2 linked regions of the Neurospora crassa OR74A genome follow. The protein of the gene in region 1 binds, or shares a complex with, the protein of each later gene. Links are inferred from orthologs where the notes say so. Each region holds a gene or a part of one and is shown in the gene's direction. Other genes may lie near its edges.

Evidence for each region. Proteins that work in one complex are often made in the same cells at the same time.
Region 2: NCU03834 (region 1) and arp-4 share a complex: the UniProt entries of both Schizosaccharomyces pombe proteins name them as parts of the nuA4 histone acetyltransferase complex. The link is inferred for Neurospora crassa OR74A from reciprocal best matches to the Schizosaccharomyces pombe genes epl1 and alp5.

Annotation. Positions count from the first base shown.
Region 1 is NC_026505.1:2,561,788-2,569,737, forward strand, and holds NCU03834 (histone acetyltransferase complex component Epl1), read left to right. Parts: upstream 1-2,621; 5' UTR 2,622-2,923; coding exon 2,924-3,070; intron 3,071-3,240; coding exon 3,241-4,011; intron 4,012-4,071; coding exon 4,072-4,923; 3' UTR 4,924-5,747; downstream 5,748-7,950. Other genes in the region: cnb-1 (calcineurin subunit B, variant), read right to left, coding at 5-339, 496-569, 715-767, 993-1,044; NCU03835 (hypothetical protein), read left to right, coding at 6,177-6,228, 6,444-6,760, 6,853-6,944, 7,028-7,091; NCU03836 (O-sialoglycoprotein endopeptidase, variant), read left to right, coding at 7,764-7,950. UniProt on the Schizosaccharomyces pombe protein: Component of the NuA4 histone acetyltransferase complex which is involved in transcriptional activation of selected genes principally by acetylation of nucleosomal histone H4 and H2A. The NuA4 complex is also involved in DNA repair.
Region 2 is NC_026501.1:2,712,144-2,719,930, reverse strand, and holds arp-4 (actin), read left to right. Parts: upstream 1-3,599; 5' UTR 3,600-3,768; coding exon 3,769-3,826; intron 3,827-3,907; coding exon 3,908-5,259; 3' UTR 5,260-5,717; downstream 5,718-7,787. Other genes in the region: NCU16368 (hypothetical protein), read left to right, coding at 1-110, 183-913, 1,000-1,100, 1,171-1,625; NCU16367 (hypothetical protein), read left to right, coding at 2,144-3,118; NCU02554 (golgi complex component), read right to left, coding at 5,718-7,787. UniProt on the Schizosaccharomyces pombe protein: Chromatin interaction component of the NuA4 histone acetyltransferase complex which is involved in transcriptional activation of selected genes principally by acetylation of nucleosomal histone H4 and H2A. The NuA4 complex is also involved in DNA repair.

The DNA of each region.
Region 1 (7,950 bases):
TCACCCAAAGTCATGCTCATGCTGACATCCGTGTTCTCCACCATCTTGGTGAACTCCTCAAAGCTGATCTTGCCGTCCTTGTCCAAATCCGCCTCCATGATCGTCTTGTCGACAATCTGTTGCAGCTGTTGGTCCTTAAGGTTGCTGCCTACCATCATCTTCAGTACGATAAACAACTCGCCGTTGCTGATGTACCCGTCACGGTCAATGTCGTACACCTTGAAAGCGAACCGCAGCTTCTGCTCCTTGTTGCCTTTGCTCGAGAAGGCGCTTAAGCCGGATACGAACTCTTGAAAGTCGACGTCGCCACCACCGTCTTCGTCGAAGATGGCAATCATTCTGCATAACACCCAAGTCGGAAACCGTTAGTCGCCAGTCTTCACTCTAAATGATGTCGCATATTGTGCCCAGACAGCATTTCCACGCGGAGAAAGCCAGAAGCATGCGATATACTGATATGAGCAAGGGTAGGTATAGGGGTAGAATGTAACGAACCTTGTAGCCAGAGGATTTGTCGATATTTGCGGTAGGCTCAAGAACTCTTCGCGCTCGATGGTACCGGAATTATCCTGTTAAACCAGATCCCGCCCGGTTAGCCAGTTATTCCGACAACAAGCCCACCGTCTTGACCGCTCGACTTATGCTTTTGTTGGCTTGCGACAACAGTTAAGCTGGACAAGATCGCAGGACGGGAATGGATGTGCAAAAACATGCCTTGTCCAACTTCATAAACCTCTTACGCAAGCGGTCAACCTCTTCCCTGTCGACTGTTAAAAAGGGTGTGTTAGTAAAGTGATCTTGACAAGAACTTGCAAGAAAGGCGCATAGCGCTTGTTGATGTAAAGCAGCATGCAATGTGCATCTCCATATCTCTGTGACTTCGTCGTAGAAGAGAGTAACAATTTTGCACCGCTGTCGATGCGACAAAGTTCAGGACATAACGAAGAGTGTAGAGGGTTGTAGGCTTCAACATGTCGCCGAGCGAAACGTACAGTTGGATCCCTGGACAATGTTGTCCAGGACGGAGCTGGTGGTGTTGCCCATGGTTGCTGCTCGTGTTGTGTATTGCTGGACTCTTTCGACCGATGGATATCTGTATTACTGGGTATCAAAGTGCACGGTGGTGTACAAATCGCCGTGCTGAATCGTCGACAAGTTCTCGGTTTGTTCTGTTTCCTTTCCACCGCTGGTTGTCGTGCTCGTGATGATAGCAATGTGCCTGTGCCGAAAGATGCGACGTGATGCGACGCTGAAGCGATCGGATACGAATGGGTCGTGTCGGTAGTCGTCGTCACTTTGGCAAGAAGTTCGGGCGCTGGGTGGTGGGTTAACACTTGAGCAGCAAAGAAAAAAGTGCGAGGCAGGAGGTATTCACAGGTTGGAGGAATTAGGGGTCGACTCCGGGTCGATAAGGGTCTGGACAAGGCAGGAATAAGGCTGAGATGGGATGCCACCAGTGGTGGTTGACAAGTGGTCAAGGTCCAGGTAGCTCGGGCTGTCACTACTAGTCCATAGCTGCAGTGCGGCGCTCGATTGCCTCACCGAACAGCGGGGGCCTCCCATTCACGAGCACTCCTGGGCTGACACCAGCAGAGCAGCAGCCCGCCGCGGCTACTGTCGTCCCGCAGTCGGCAGGTCCCCTCTTCGGTTTGGCGGTCACAGACTGGAACGGAGGCAAAAGAGGGAGAGGCGGGCCGCGGCCTTTGGCTCGGCTGGGCAGGCGGACAGCGGGGGCAGGCACGAGGATCTATGCCGTGGATGGTGGGGTAAGAAGTGGGATGCACGGGCCACTTCTCCTCCTCATCTCGTATCAGCCCATTGATTGATTCATTTCAACACGCTGCCCCTTTCGACGGTCAGGGTTGATGTCTGTTGGAACTGTTCGCGTGCCTCCTCGTTGAAACCAAACCAACCATTGACCGTTTTAGGAATTCTTAAAGGAATGCATCGCATGTGTGCTGCTGCGCATATGATTTGCACCTCGGACTCCATCTTTATTTGGCTGCGGTGCACTGGTAACAGTCAAATGCCCAAATCTCCAGACAGTCACAAGTTGTCGTTGAATATTGAATGCGATATCAACGACATGGAGAGGAAGTGGTGCAGGATATCAGTCTTTTATTTGGATCCAACTTGGGTGTTGTCAGGTTGCGCACCGAATGCCCTCAGTTCAAGGAGTCTATGACGACCAGCAAATGCTTGCTTGCATCGTCATTCCACCAAGAGCCAAAGGGTTCTGATAGTAAGATTGAAAACAAGCAAAAACAGGTAACAAAAGAGTAGAATCAATGAGGCCGCGGTGTATCTCTGTAAGATTGCACGCCAATCCTTACCTTACATGACGATATTGCTCTTATCGGAGCGGGCTGGCACTGCCTTGGGCTCCAGTTGGCAGCTTGGCTTCTCAGGCGGGCAGTCGAGGTTGGAGTCGTCGGATCGGGTTCCTTGGAGGCGCGCCCGCGCTTCCAACTTTCAAACAGTGCAGTGGCCACTGGCAGTGGTGGTTGACTGGTTCGTTGCGAGTGGACGCGCAGACCATGGACGGCCCGGGCAGTGGGCACCACGCTTACGTTCCCTCCCTGAAAAGCCAGCAAAGCCAGCGCGACCAGCAAAACTTCGCCCAAAACCACCCCATTCAACCCCTCCCCCCGCCATTCAGGCTTCGCAAGAGCAGAAGCCCAGCCAATCGCCAAGACCGTGCATTGGCCGTCGAATCCGCCGCCAAAACAGCAAAATCTGCGCCGAAACCTCAACGACACTCCATCAAGGGACCAGATTTTGCCCATCAAAATATCACCCACGACGCGAGTTTTCCATCAAAAAACTCGACGGTTCGATTTCGCATGCAATCCCGCATGAGATAAAAAAAAATTTCGTCGGGGTTTCCCCAGGCCTTTCTGCCGCAATTGCCCACACCTTCACCATGGCGACCCGCAAGGTTCGGTACAAGAAACTGAGTGTCAAAACACAACTTGCGGTGCTCAGGGAGGATCAAATTGAAGCCTCTGAGTATGAATCACTCACTTCCGAAAACCAAATAGCCACCGGTGTCGAACAGGCCGAGGAAAATGTGAGTTCAACACCTATGTCCGATTGATCGCGACCGGGGTCACGTGCACGTGCACGTGCCACCCGTCTGCCGCGCCTCCATCACGCCTCCATCACCAACTCACCTTACCTACCTTCCATGCACACAGCCATGCATGTCACCGGTGCTGACCTTACCCCTTCTGTAACTAGGAATACCATCTTCAAGCTGTGCTCAAGGGGGCAGGAGTCGCCGCCGACCAGGAGATTCCTGTCCCCCCTCCACAGCAGAGTGAACTGGATTACGACCAGTTCTACCCTCAAAAGGTGGCCAAGACATCCACGTATATCCGTTTTTCCCAAACGGTAGAAGAATGCATCAGTTGCTTGTATGACATGACCGAGGACGATGAGACGTTCCTCAAGTCCTACAACATGAAACTGACCCCGTCTGCTCGTCTCTCCGAAGATGATTTCGAGAGGATCATGGACGTGTATGAGGACATGGCGGCGAACATAACGCCGTTCTCGGCCATAGACCAGACAGTGCCGTCGTATCAGGAGATGTTGCGAGGACTGGAGCCATTAGACAGCACAAAAGTCATGGTTCATGCCAAGCAGATATATGAGTACTGGAAGTCGCGCCGCGAAATCAGCAAAAACCGACCGCTCAACCCTACACTGAAATTCGAGACACATGCGGAAAGCGACGAGCTTGATCCCTACGTCTGCTTTCGCCGAAGAGAGATTCGTCAAACTCGCAAAACGAGGGCAAGAGATGTCCAGAGTGCGGACAAACTCAAGCGGCTGCGGAAGGAGCTGGAGGAAGGTCGTCAACTCATCCTGGCAGCCCACAACCGGGAATTGCTCAAGGCAGATATGCTCAAGGTAGAGCGAGCCATCTTCGATCAACGAGCCATCATCAAGGAGCAAAAACTCCGACTCGGCATCAGGACGGGCGACGAGGATCTAGTAAACCAAAAGGTTAGTCAAACGGCAAGACGTGCAAGACTTACATCAGCCAACGCTAACGCTTCACAACAGCCGCAAAAGAGGAAGGCTCCGGAGGCACCCTCAGCTCAAAGACCCCCTCCACCCCCCCAGATCCGTATGCCTGTGCGCCCCGATGGCCGTCCCGCAGAGTCAGATCTTGTCCAACTCTCAGATCGCCTTGCCGAGAAGAATGCGGAGCTCATCATCGAGATCGAGAAGAAGATTCAGAACCACATCGACTGGAACAAGAACTATGTCGACCTCACTGGCAAGCCGCTGTCTCCCGTTCAGGGCCCAAGACAAGATTTGGGCTTCAGACCTGCCAAGACGCAGTATCTCATGACGCCACCAGCGTCTGCATCCTCAGGATCCATGGATGAGCCCACCCCGATGGATCTTGATAAGCCCAAACCCAACCCACCACCACCAGTAAAATTCAGGGGCGTTGCCCAGGACGAACAATCATTGGCGCATCCACCCTCATATCGTCGTCGTATCGGCCGGTTGAACAGGTTGTGGATCGACCGTCGTGGTTTACCTAGTCCAGCCCGAGACCTCAGTGAAGAACAGTCCGATCGCTGGAAGTATGATCAGTCCTCTGATGACGAGGACGACGCGCCGGTGTATATGCTGGACCCCTTTGATACAAAGGCATTGAGGTACCGTGCTTCAATACCACTCCAGACGGTCACAAGACCTCCCCCACCGGTTATCAACCGGCAGTTCATCCCTCCGGGCGCCGTCCCACAACAACTTGCCCAATCTTCTTTTGCTCCGGGACAACCACAACCGCAATCACAACCTCAACCAAATCAATCACAATCTCTCCCTCTACCTCAACCACAACAACCAGTAGCACAGCCACAGCCGCAACCGCAGCCCCAGGCTCAACCGGTGTCATAAAATTGGCGTTTGTAGGAGTGTTGTGTTGTCATCTTTTTTAGATATCGTTTGGCTTTTTTCGCGGGCTGGTGGTCGAGCAGCCGAATAAACTTCGGAAGACCGCTGCTGTGTATACCCCTCAACTCTCGATTGATGCATTTAGCGATATGGGGCCAGGGCTAAAGAGAAGGATCTGGCCGGGGCGAGGCGTTTGGGTTGCGGCTTTTGCGTAGGTTTGGCGAAGTGGGGAACGGCTCATGTATATATGTAAACAAGTAGTCGTACCGATATCGTGTAGATGGCGGCGGATAGCTGAGACACGCGAGAAGCTGTGCAGCGACAACAGTAATGAGATACCAAAGCAGTAAAATACCACTTCTGGCTCCCATCAGTTGCTTCACGCGGTGTTGTATTGTGCAGTGTGACTGAACCACGAAAGTGGCTATGGCCATCAAGCGTGGAGGCTGGTCTCGATGTCTGTCAAGGCATCTTCGCTTCTGGAAAGCCTGGAGGGCGAACGAAGCCTTATAGACCGGGTGCGTCCGCGAGGTTGTTGCCCAGGGGAAAGCAGGAATGATCTCAGAGATGTTCCGAGCGTTTGGTCATCGGCAGCCCCGAGACAAGTGCTGCGAGCGTATGCATGTGCCACATTTGGGCTTAGGTAACACACGGTGCTGCCCTGGGCCGATGTGCGAATTGGTCGGAGGTGTGCGAGAATTTGCGAACCGGGTGGGCCAATAGGAAACCAGCAATCGAGCTGCGGTCCGACACAGGACGCTTCACAAGAAGACAGGAAGTTGGGAGGACGACAAAAGTGTCGAGAAAGAGAAAAAGGTGTTCCCTCGCGCCCCTGGTAGACCGGGTCGCTGCTTAGCGTAGAGACGGGGGTCGCCCCTTTGGCTTTCGGAGCGACCGTGCAGCGTGCTTGGTGATAAAAGAGTGGGGACGCCTCAAAGAAAGAGGTCTCGCTAGGTACGTAGGTGGAAAAAAAGCTGAGAAAGAGAAAACTCGAGCAGAGAGAAATTGACCGGTCGTTACGATATCGATGCTGGCTTGGACGTCGAGTCTTCCGTTGCCAGGCTTCGGAGTCGAGACCGCTGCTCCTTTTGGTGCAGGACCCTGGCTTCTGGCAGAACTGCTGATCGCCGGTTTTCCGGAACCGAAGATGCCTTGCAAAAAGGGACATTCCGATCTGGTAATCCGCGATTTTGACGTTGGTGAAAACTCGAGCAGGAGAGTTCGAGGGCGCTCTAGAGTGGGATCACCGAGCAGCAATGGTTGGCTGGCTGGCTGACTGGAGGCCAGCTTTGCTGACTTGGTGGCGAGGTTCGTGATTTTGAACCATGAAGCCAGCAGCCCACAACAGCATTTCCCAAAGACTTGGAAAGGCGGAAGAAGAAGCGATGTCCAAAGAAGGTGGAAGACAGAATGGAGGTGTCGAGTGAACAGCTTTCCATGGGTGGTGGGTGGTCCTGTGGTGCAGAGTTCTGGTCAGCCTAGGTTCACCCACAACGGTACCGGACATATCAAGCCCACATCAGACGGGTTGTGCGAGACAAAAAGATGGCCAAAGCAGCATTCTGAAGTCAGACGAACGAGGAAAACACACCTCAAGAGGGAATATGGGTATCTCCATCCCCATAGACTTGGGGCGGTGCTGAATTCACGGCCTCCAATCCGGCCCAGACGGCCCCGTGAGCTCGAAAGCTTGCAAGAACCGAACAAGAAGCAGCCCGGCCATGTTCTGCCGAAGAAATGGCAGGCAAAGGATGGTGAAGACAAGGAAGAAGTCGGCTGGGCTGTTGAAAGAGGCAGGTCTGGCCGTGCGGTTGGGAGGTTTGGGTTTGGCGGCAACGAGGTGAGGTGTTGGGTGATACAGGCTCGGAGGATGGAAGATGGTTGGACGGCTGCGGACTCTCGCTTGGCTGGGAGAATTGATTCTCGGTGCAGTGGGGTCCCGTGCAGAGAGCCCCAAGCCCAGGCTCGGCAGACCCCGAACTGCTCGGAGCCTTTTTGCACTTCCACAGAGCAAGTCAAATCACGTAAGCTCATCTGCACATATTTGTTGCAATGGAACTGTTGGATCAGCTCATGGCGAAAAAGCTAGAAATAATCAAACTTCTAGTGTCTTTTACACAACTCATGCATCCATGGTCACAGTTTGCGCCGTTGCGGCTATATGTGGATAGAAATCGTTGCTACTACTAGCGCACGAGCCACGCTACGTGCCTGCCTTACATAACATTGCATTGCGCATCCAAAGCAACATAAAGGTCCCACTCGACTGTGCACAAGCGGCTGCGGGGACCCACATTTCATTGAACCCCTCATCGACTCCATGGAAGGCTCTGACGAAATCCCATTGCTGATTCCCATGGCGAGGCCGTTCCCTTGTTTTGAGAAGAACAACGGGCGAGAATGGCTTTAAAGCATCGTTACAAGTAGTGAACATGTCGACCGGTTTTAGGAGACGGGATACCGGCCCGCTGGGGGAATAAGTATGTACATCCTCTTTCATCTCGATCTCGAGTTTCGTCACCTTGATCACTACGGCGCGCCTAGCCTAGGTATTCACAGACGCGACGAAATTTTCCCCACTCTAAAAAGGTGCCCCTCCATTATCACTTTCTCCATCTGACATCTGGCATTGGATGTGGCACTGACAACATCCATCCATCCATCCTATTCAGTACGCGACGCGACGCCTATCAACAACCAAAGGATATCAAGGTCCTCGATAAACATCCCCAACGAAATATCCTTGCGAGTTATCTGATACGAAGCAACCGGCTCCCGATTCACCAAGTAACCGAAACCCTCTCCCTCCCTCGCTCTATCCAACAAAGCCCCAACAGCCAACAATGCCCGACGCCAAAGGCCGCCGCATCGCTCTCGGATGCGAAGGCTCCGCCAACAAGCTCGGCATCGGCATCATTGCGCACGACCCCATCACCGGCGAAGCCCTTGTCCTGTCCAACGTGCGCGACACCTTCGTCTCTCCTCCCGGCACCGGTTTCCTTCCCAAGGACACAGCCCGACACCACCGTG
Region 2 (7,787 bases), on another chromosome or scaffold:
CGCCCAGCGTCGTCCTTGACCTTAAACAGGTCATGGTGAACTGTGAGCGCATGCTCGAAGCAGCCGAAAACCTTGGCCTGCAATGGAGAGCTCATATCAAGACCCACAAGGTACAACAATGGATCATGACCCATTAAAACGACAAAACAAAACTGTCACTGACAACTGTAAACAACATATAGACAACAGAGCTCACCCGCCTCCAAGTCGGAAACCACCTCACCATTCCCGTCCTGCTAATCGTCTCAACCATCCTTGAAGCCGAAAATATCACTCCCCTCCTCAAAGAGTACCAATCCAAAGACCGCCATGTCAACGTTCTCTTATCCTTCCCGCTCTTCGCATCCGCCGTCCCCCGTCTCGCCGCCGTTTCTTCCCAGCTCGGCCCCGATGGCTTATCCGTTATGATCGATCACGTCGATCAGCTCCCCTACGTCAAGGCCATCCACACTTCCTCAGGACACCCTCCCCGCGTGTTCATCAAAATCGACGTCAACTACGGCCGCGCCGGCGTCAAGACCGACTCTCCCGAGTACCCATCTCTAGTCGACGTCCTCCTGGCTGCTGAGCGGGAAGGATGGTTGGTGCTGCATGGCTTGTATACACATGCCGGGCAGAGCTACGGGGCTCGCAAGCTCGGAGATGCTATGCATGTTCTTCACGCTGAATTCATTCACGCCCATAATGCTGCCATGAAGATTCGCGAAAAGAGTCCGGACCATGCTCCTCTGGTGTTATCGGTAGGTGCGACGCCAACGGCGACGACGATCCAGAGCCCTTGGTTTACGGGGGAGTGCGATGTGCCCACGGCAAACTCGCAGGGAAGCATGAGACCATTTGAGGAGGAGCTTAAAGAGTTGTGGGGCGGTTGGCAGAAGGAGGGATATGTGCTTGAAATTCATGCTGGTGTTTAGTGAGTTGGTCCTTTTCACCCTGGTGCTGGCTGACTTTTTTCTTCTATGTACATGTGGCCTCATTGTGCTAACACGGATCTTTCAGCCCGACCCTCGATCTCCAACAGGTCGCAACTCACGCACGACACATCGGTCTTCTTTCTGAAGAAGATATCGGCATCAGCGTAGTTGCCGAGGTCGCCTCCGGTATGTAAAACTCTCTCCATGGATCCCGTAACATTGCAGGAGAGCTAATTTCCCCTGTCAAAAACAACAGTCTACCCGACCCGCGGTCAAAACTCAAAGCCTGAAGCCCTCATCAATGCCGGCTCTCTGGCCCTTGGCCGCGAGCCCGTGGGCCTAGACAAGATAACGAGCAACAACGAGGAGACTGCCAAGCCGTACACTGGCTGGGGCGCCCTGATGCCCTGGGGCGTTCTAGCAGGAACGGAAAAAAAGGACAGGAGCGGCAAGATTCTCGGCGAGAGGTTTCCTAATGACTTTAGGGGCTGGCAGGTCGGCAAGATCAGCCAGGAGCACGGTATTTTGACTTGGGTAGGGGATGAAGGGAAGAAGGCGCCCGAACTTAAGGTGGGTGATAGGGTAAGGGTGTGGCCCAACCATGCTTGCATCATGGGGGCGGGGTTCGAGTACTATCTGATTGTTGACTCGAATTGCCGGGGGCAGGAGGATAAGGTTCGCGATGTTTGGTGTAGATGGAATGGGTGGTAATTATTTACGAACGGGGTAAAGATCAAAGGGCTTCCGAAGCGAGGATAGAGAGGTCAAAATCACCCAACTTCAACAAATTAATTTCTGATTTTGATCCATGCATACAAAGATGAAATATCACTTTCCTAGGATTGTTACGTTACTGTGCACTAAGGCGAGTTTGTGTCTCCTGAAAGTCACTGGAATATAGCTGTTGCATGTAAACAAAAATGGGGTTGGCGTGGCAACCGCTATGGGCCGTCGTTTCCCCCTCCAGCTTTGGTGTATCCGCGCTGTTGTCCAGGGCACCTACAGTTAGCTTCTGCTGTGAACGAACTGTTCCATCAGGGGCAACTTCCGAGCACCGGCGCGTTCACCATACTTCCTTGCAACCTACCTACAACCACCACACCTGAACTCCAAGGTGATGACCACATCCAACACCATACATCACATCTCCAGTTATCGTTGCGCCAGGTCTTGAACAATTCACAGAGCCTCCGCTCTGAATCATAACCCAGCAAACGAATGTCACGAGAATGCCCATAATATCGGAGGAAGAAGAGGAGGATGGCACGATGCTGTCCCACCCTTCAGAAGAAGACAACCACGATGATGGCTCGATATCCGGAGACGAGGATTCTTACGACGAGGATGACATCTCGGACGACGACGGCGACGACGAGCACCTCGCGCCCCCACCGCCCGTCTCGCAACATACCTTCGCCCCTCCCTTCTACGGTCGCCCACCGACCCCTCTCCCACCCTCCCCCTCTTTAACCTCCCTGCTGCGCCCCTCGCGTCCCACTACCCCGGACGCCTCCGACGACGAGACAGTAGCCAACGGCGGCGGTGGGGGTCCAGAGGGCAGCAACGAGCCCCTCCCGCGCGCCAGCCCCCGCGTACCCACGTACGAGTACTACGGCTTCGTCCTCTACCTCTTCAGCAGCCTGTCGTTTTTGATCTACCTACTGTGGGCCTACCTGCCTTCACCGTTCCTGCATGCGTTGGGCATCTACTACTACCCCAACCGGTGGTGGTCGCTGGCCATTCCGAGTTTCCTGACAATGACGCTGGTGTACATCTACGTGGCGCTGGCGGCTTACAATACCGAGTACCTCACACTGCCGTTGGGATCGATTGAGACGATTGTGGATGAGGCGGCGCAGGTGGCGGTGGTGGATGGGAAGGGCCAAATCATTAGGCATGATAAGAAATGTGGCATCAAGGAGGAGAAGAGACAGTATGGGCATGGCTATGGACATGGGAGGCATGGGTCGACGGATAGGGAGGTGCTCTTACCTGGGGGAGGATTGAATTGGAGGGAGGTCTGGAATGAAGGGACGGATGCGGTGATGGATGTGCCACTGGCGGGAGTTTGTGAGGTTTTGTATGGAGAGGGGAGGGAGAAAGGGGTGGAGAGTGAGGAGGATGAGGAGGACTATGAAGGAAAGGGGATGTTGCATAGTCCTGGGAATGGACTGGATGGCTCGAGAGTTGGTCGATGGAGTTAACACAGGTTATGAAGGTCCTGAGACAGGATAGACACCTGATCTCTGCTGTATTGTTGTTTTGTCCATTGTGAAATATGATACCCATTTGTTCTTTTTGGGGGTGGCATAATGCTCTGGGTGAATCCGTTGTCGGTATCGTATACAGCTGAGAGTTCTACTTCCCATGGATGTCGTAACTTTGACTTCTAGGACTTCTAGCGAGTTCGTGGGCTCTGGATCAGCAACGACAGGCCAGCGACAATCTTTGAGGAGTTTAACCAAAGCTAACTGCTCATGTGCGTCTTACTTCTCTTCAAGCTTAAAAGACCTATCAACAAGTTAACAGAGCTCTTGACAGGTTCGTTGGATTGCTATTTCCATTTTCTGTCCCTGATGCCCTATTACCGTAGAGGTACGTACCGCGCCCCACTTTTATGTAGCTGGAGGAGAGCCTGTCCGGCCTTTTACTGGTATTCACGCGCGCGCGCCCCTCGTCTTTGAAGCTCCGTTGTCAAATTCCATTTGATTTCCAGTTCATCGAACTTCAACGGAACGCGACGGGACCGAGCTATTAGACGCGCAGCGCTGTTTGGAGATCCCCGCTCACACCACTTCTTGCCCTCCGATAATACACCTCAGCGATTTTCCATTATACAGCGTCGGTGCCTAACATGTCCCACCAACAACCTCTCTCGTCGTCGGTCCAGCCGACTGACATCTATGGCGGAGGTAAGCCTAGTCCAAACGCCTCTGACCAGCGACATTGCCCAAGCTTCAAGGCTTGCAATTGACGGCTGATTATTTCCTTAGATGAGGTATCCGCGCTTGTTCTCGATCCGGGCTACTGCAACACTCGCGCCGGCTATGCTGGCGAGGAAATGCCCAAGCAAGTTCTCCCTTCTTTTTACGGCCACATCAATGGGCGTGACGTATTCGGCGACGAGTATATCGTGCCAAAACCGGGCTTCGAAGTGCGCAACTACATGAACCGCGACAGCGTTGTCGAAGATTGGGATGCTGCCACCAGGATGTGGGAACATGTTCTCGTCAAGCGTTTGCAGCCCGAGCGATCAACACCTCCCAGCAAAAAGGGTATCAACATTAGTGACGATGGCGATGTGCCCATGGAAGACGATGGAAACAACAACGAGGATGCTACGGACGCGCTGGAGAAGCCACTGGCCGAGAACCCTCTTCTTATGACCGAAGCGCCGTGGAACTCGCCCAAGGCGCGCGAGAAGGCCATCGAAATCAGCATGGAGACTTGGGGCGTGCCCGCATTCTGGCTTAGCAAGACACCTGTGCTCGCAGCATTTGCGGCCGGAAAGGCCACGGCTCTGGTAATAGACGTGGGCGGTGCCAACACGAGTGTCACGGCCATCCACGACGGCATGGTCCTCAAGCGATCGATTCAAAGGTCTCCGGTGGGCGGTGTTTGGCTGAGCAGCCAGATCTGCAAGATGTGGGACGGTAGTGAGCCCAAGGTCGACGTTGTGCCGCGGTTCATGGTCGAGAGTAAGAAGCCCGTGGAGGCCGGTGCGCCTGCCGAAGCCAACCTGCGAAAGTTTAACTTCGACATCCACCCGTCCTTCCGCGCTTACGAGGAAGAGCGTGTTCTCACCGAGTTCAAGGAGTCTGTTGTCGAGGTGTGGCGTGGTCCCCAGCGGTTCACGACCCCCGGAAACGAAGATGCTGTCCGTACACAACCCGGCCGGGTCTTCGAGATGCCCGACGGCAGCAATCAGATGTGGCGTGAGCAGCGCTTCAAGGTGTCGGAGGGCATGTGGGACGAGACGGCTGCCTATAACAGCACTGACGAGGAAGGACGTGTTACTAAGGCTCAGACGATCCCGGCTCTCATCAAGGCGGCCCTCGAGGGTGTTGATGTTGATCTCCGCCCCAACATCCTCGGCAACGTTGTTGTCACGGGTAGTACAAGCTTGTTGAACGGTTTCAACGACCGTCTCAACCACGAGCTCGCGCAAATGTACCCCGGTGTGAAGATCAAGATCCATGCGGCGGGTTTGACGACCGAGAGACGCTTCGGTGCTTGGATCGGAGGAAGCATTCTCGCCAGTCTCGGAACCTTCCACCAAATGTGGATTTCGCGAAAGGAATATGATGAGAACGGCGCGGGCATTGTCGAGAAGCGCTGCAAGTAGGATTTCACTTTGTCAATTGCAGAAAAAGAAAGTTGTCGAGGCATGAAGTGGAAAACCCTCCCACGCCGCGCTATGGAAATGGCGGGAGGCTACAAAACATCGGATTCCAAGTCAGGCCACAATGGTTGATGCCTAAAGTGCTCACACATTCATGGAGTTTGTGTGGGGTGGAGTGTGGTGGTCATATAAGATGGGCATGATATTTTCTACGTCGCTAATTATCAGGCAGGTGTATGTTATGGTCGCACGATATGGCGCGGAGGCGTTCCGGAGAAATGGATTTTCAATGCTTTCAGCTTATGAAAGATACACGCCAACCATTGCCTGTATTGCCAGTTTTGACTTTAATCACGGCTAGATCCCAGAGCTTCAACTGTCTCCAAGTAGTTCATTCACCGTAAAGCTTCTACGTACAAAGTGTAATTTCTTCTAGACAATCCATAATCCTCTCATCAGTCCTACCTGTCAATGGGGCAGCTATACTCTCTCTTCGTTCCAAAACTAGCTCCTTTGGAAACCGCGCCCCCATGTTTCATCTCAAGAGCGTCCAGGCATGCTTGATGGTAGATGTGTCTGCAGGCCAGCACAACCAGAGGGCTAAGCTTCTGTTCCCGGTTTGCCACTATTGGCCCTTGCACGCCTTCATGTCCAGAAGTGTTTGCTTGCTGGTTCGGGTCGTTCATTGACTCCCCTTGCTGCTTCAATTGCGGGCTCACAGCCTTTCCCTTGCCCTTCCCCTTTCCATCTCCATTTGCATTTCCATTATACTTCTCCCCACCCTGGGGCCCGTCCGTTGCCGGCCACGCATGATCCTTGCCCTTCCCCCGTTCAGTAGTAGCACTCGCCGCCTTGTTTTTGCTCATGGTGAGTTGCTTCCTCGCCTGGCGTTGACTCTCCTCAGCAGCCTGGCGATCTTCCCACGCTTCGTAGACATTACCCGCCACACCAGGACCCCAAACTCGCCGGCCGCAGGCCTCGCAGGTGGAGCCTTTAGGACGCCAACCTCGCTGGCGGAGTTGGACGGCTTGGCTTACACTCACAAAAAGACTGCGTTCCAAAAGCCGGTTTGAGAGGCTAAGGATGGATTCTTCGTATGCGTATGCGGCGAAGATACTGGAGAGAACTGAACGGAGATCTGCAAGGTTAGGCGACGACGCCGCGGCGCGAGTGAGGAACGCACGAAGAATACGGAGGAAGGATAGATTGGCGTTTATTGCTGGAGGTTGTATATCACCCGTGTCTGCTGCAGATCGAGAGGTACGGGTTGATGTGGATGAGAGGAGGGCTGTAAAGGTGTCTTGCACGAGCGATCGTGCCAAGGTGACAAGCTTTTCTGTCTCTAATGACATATGGAATGGTTCACTGTTGGGGTTAGAATCGCCGTTCATAAGCTGTGCTTGTGCTGAATCATCTGGGGGTGGTAGCTGCAAGGCTGAAGTAGCCCGCTTGGTGATCTGTACACAGCTCTCAACCAAGCTGAGCCAGAGTTGCTCGTCGGGCGAAAGCTCGTCTTCAGAATTTGATTTGTGTCGTTGACGTGTATTACCACTCTCTCGAGCGGCTTTGGTTTGTTCCTGACACAGCCAAACGCCCACACGAGTGTAGTTTTGCAAAGCTTGCATAAGTTCCTCCGTACTTTCTTGGGAATTGAGATCTCCTTGCGACTGAGAGGCGGTTCCGGTCAATAGACCGTATAAGGCTGATTCAAGAGTTTCCAAGTGTCTCGTCAGTCGCGCCATGGCCTCCTTCACTTGCCCTTCTTTCGCCATCAGTATGACGGCAGCGTCGATTACACCCGTCTCTTCCATCGTAGGCAGTAGCTTCTCTAACCTCAAGTTCGTAGCTTGGACTTTGTTTACGTATTCCGGTACATGTGATGGTTCAAACTGGCACATGAGCTGCAGATACTGCTCCACAAGATCTTGTTGAGGCGGACGGACGTTCATCACCTCCTTACTTGGCTCCAGTATCATCTTCAGATAAGTATACCGAAGGTGCGGCTGCTCAGAAACGGAATCCAGGACGTGACTGTGCAACTCTGGAGCGTAGGTCCCTATTGCTTGCGCCGCTCTAACAGAGTCAATCTGGACTAGTTTACCGGCGTGATCCTTGATGACCTGATGTACGTCCTGTATCTGGCGACGGGTAAGACCTGAGTGCGGTCGGAGACAGAGTTCGATGCAGTCAAAGATAGCTTCCCGCTCATTCGGATCTTCGAAGTAGGTCAGAGTCAATTTCCCATACTGTTTGTCTGCTTTGTATATACGCTTCAGTATCCGATAAAATCCAGCCTCCTTGAACCGCGGTATCAAGTCGGGTAGATCTGGCGGATGATAAACTGAAAGTAGATATTCGGCGCTTAGTTGGGCATCCTCGGCAAGGTCATCCCCTGGATATCGACACAGCTCGACCAGGACCTTGGTAAGTGTCGATCCCGTGAAAAGAAGGTATTGCGGGTACTTGGGAAGGTTTCTGGCAATAAACATATCGAGATAGATAGTGTCTTCCTTGGCAAAGTCTGCCGAGCT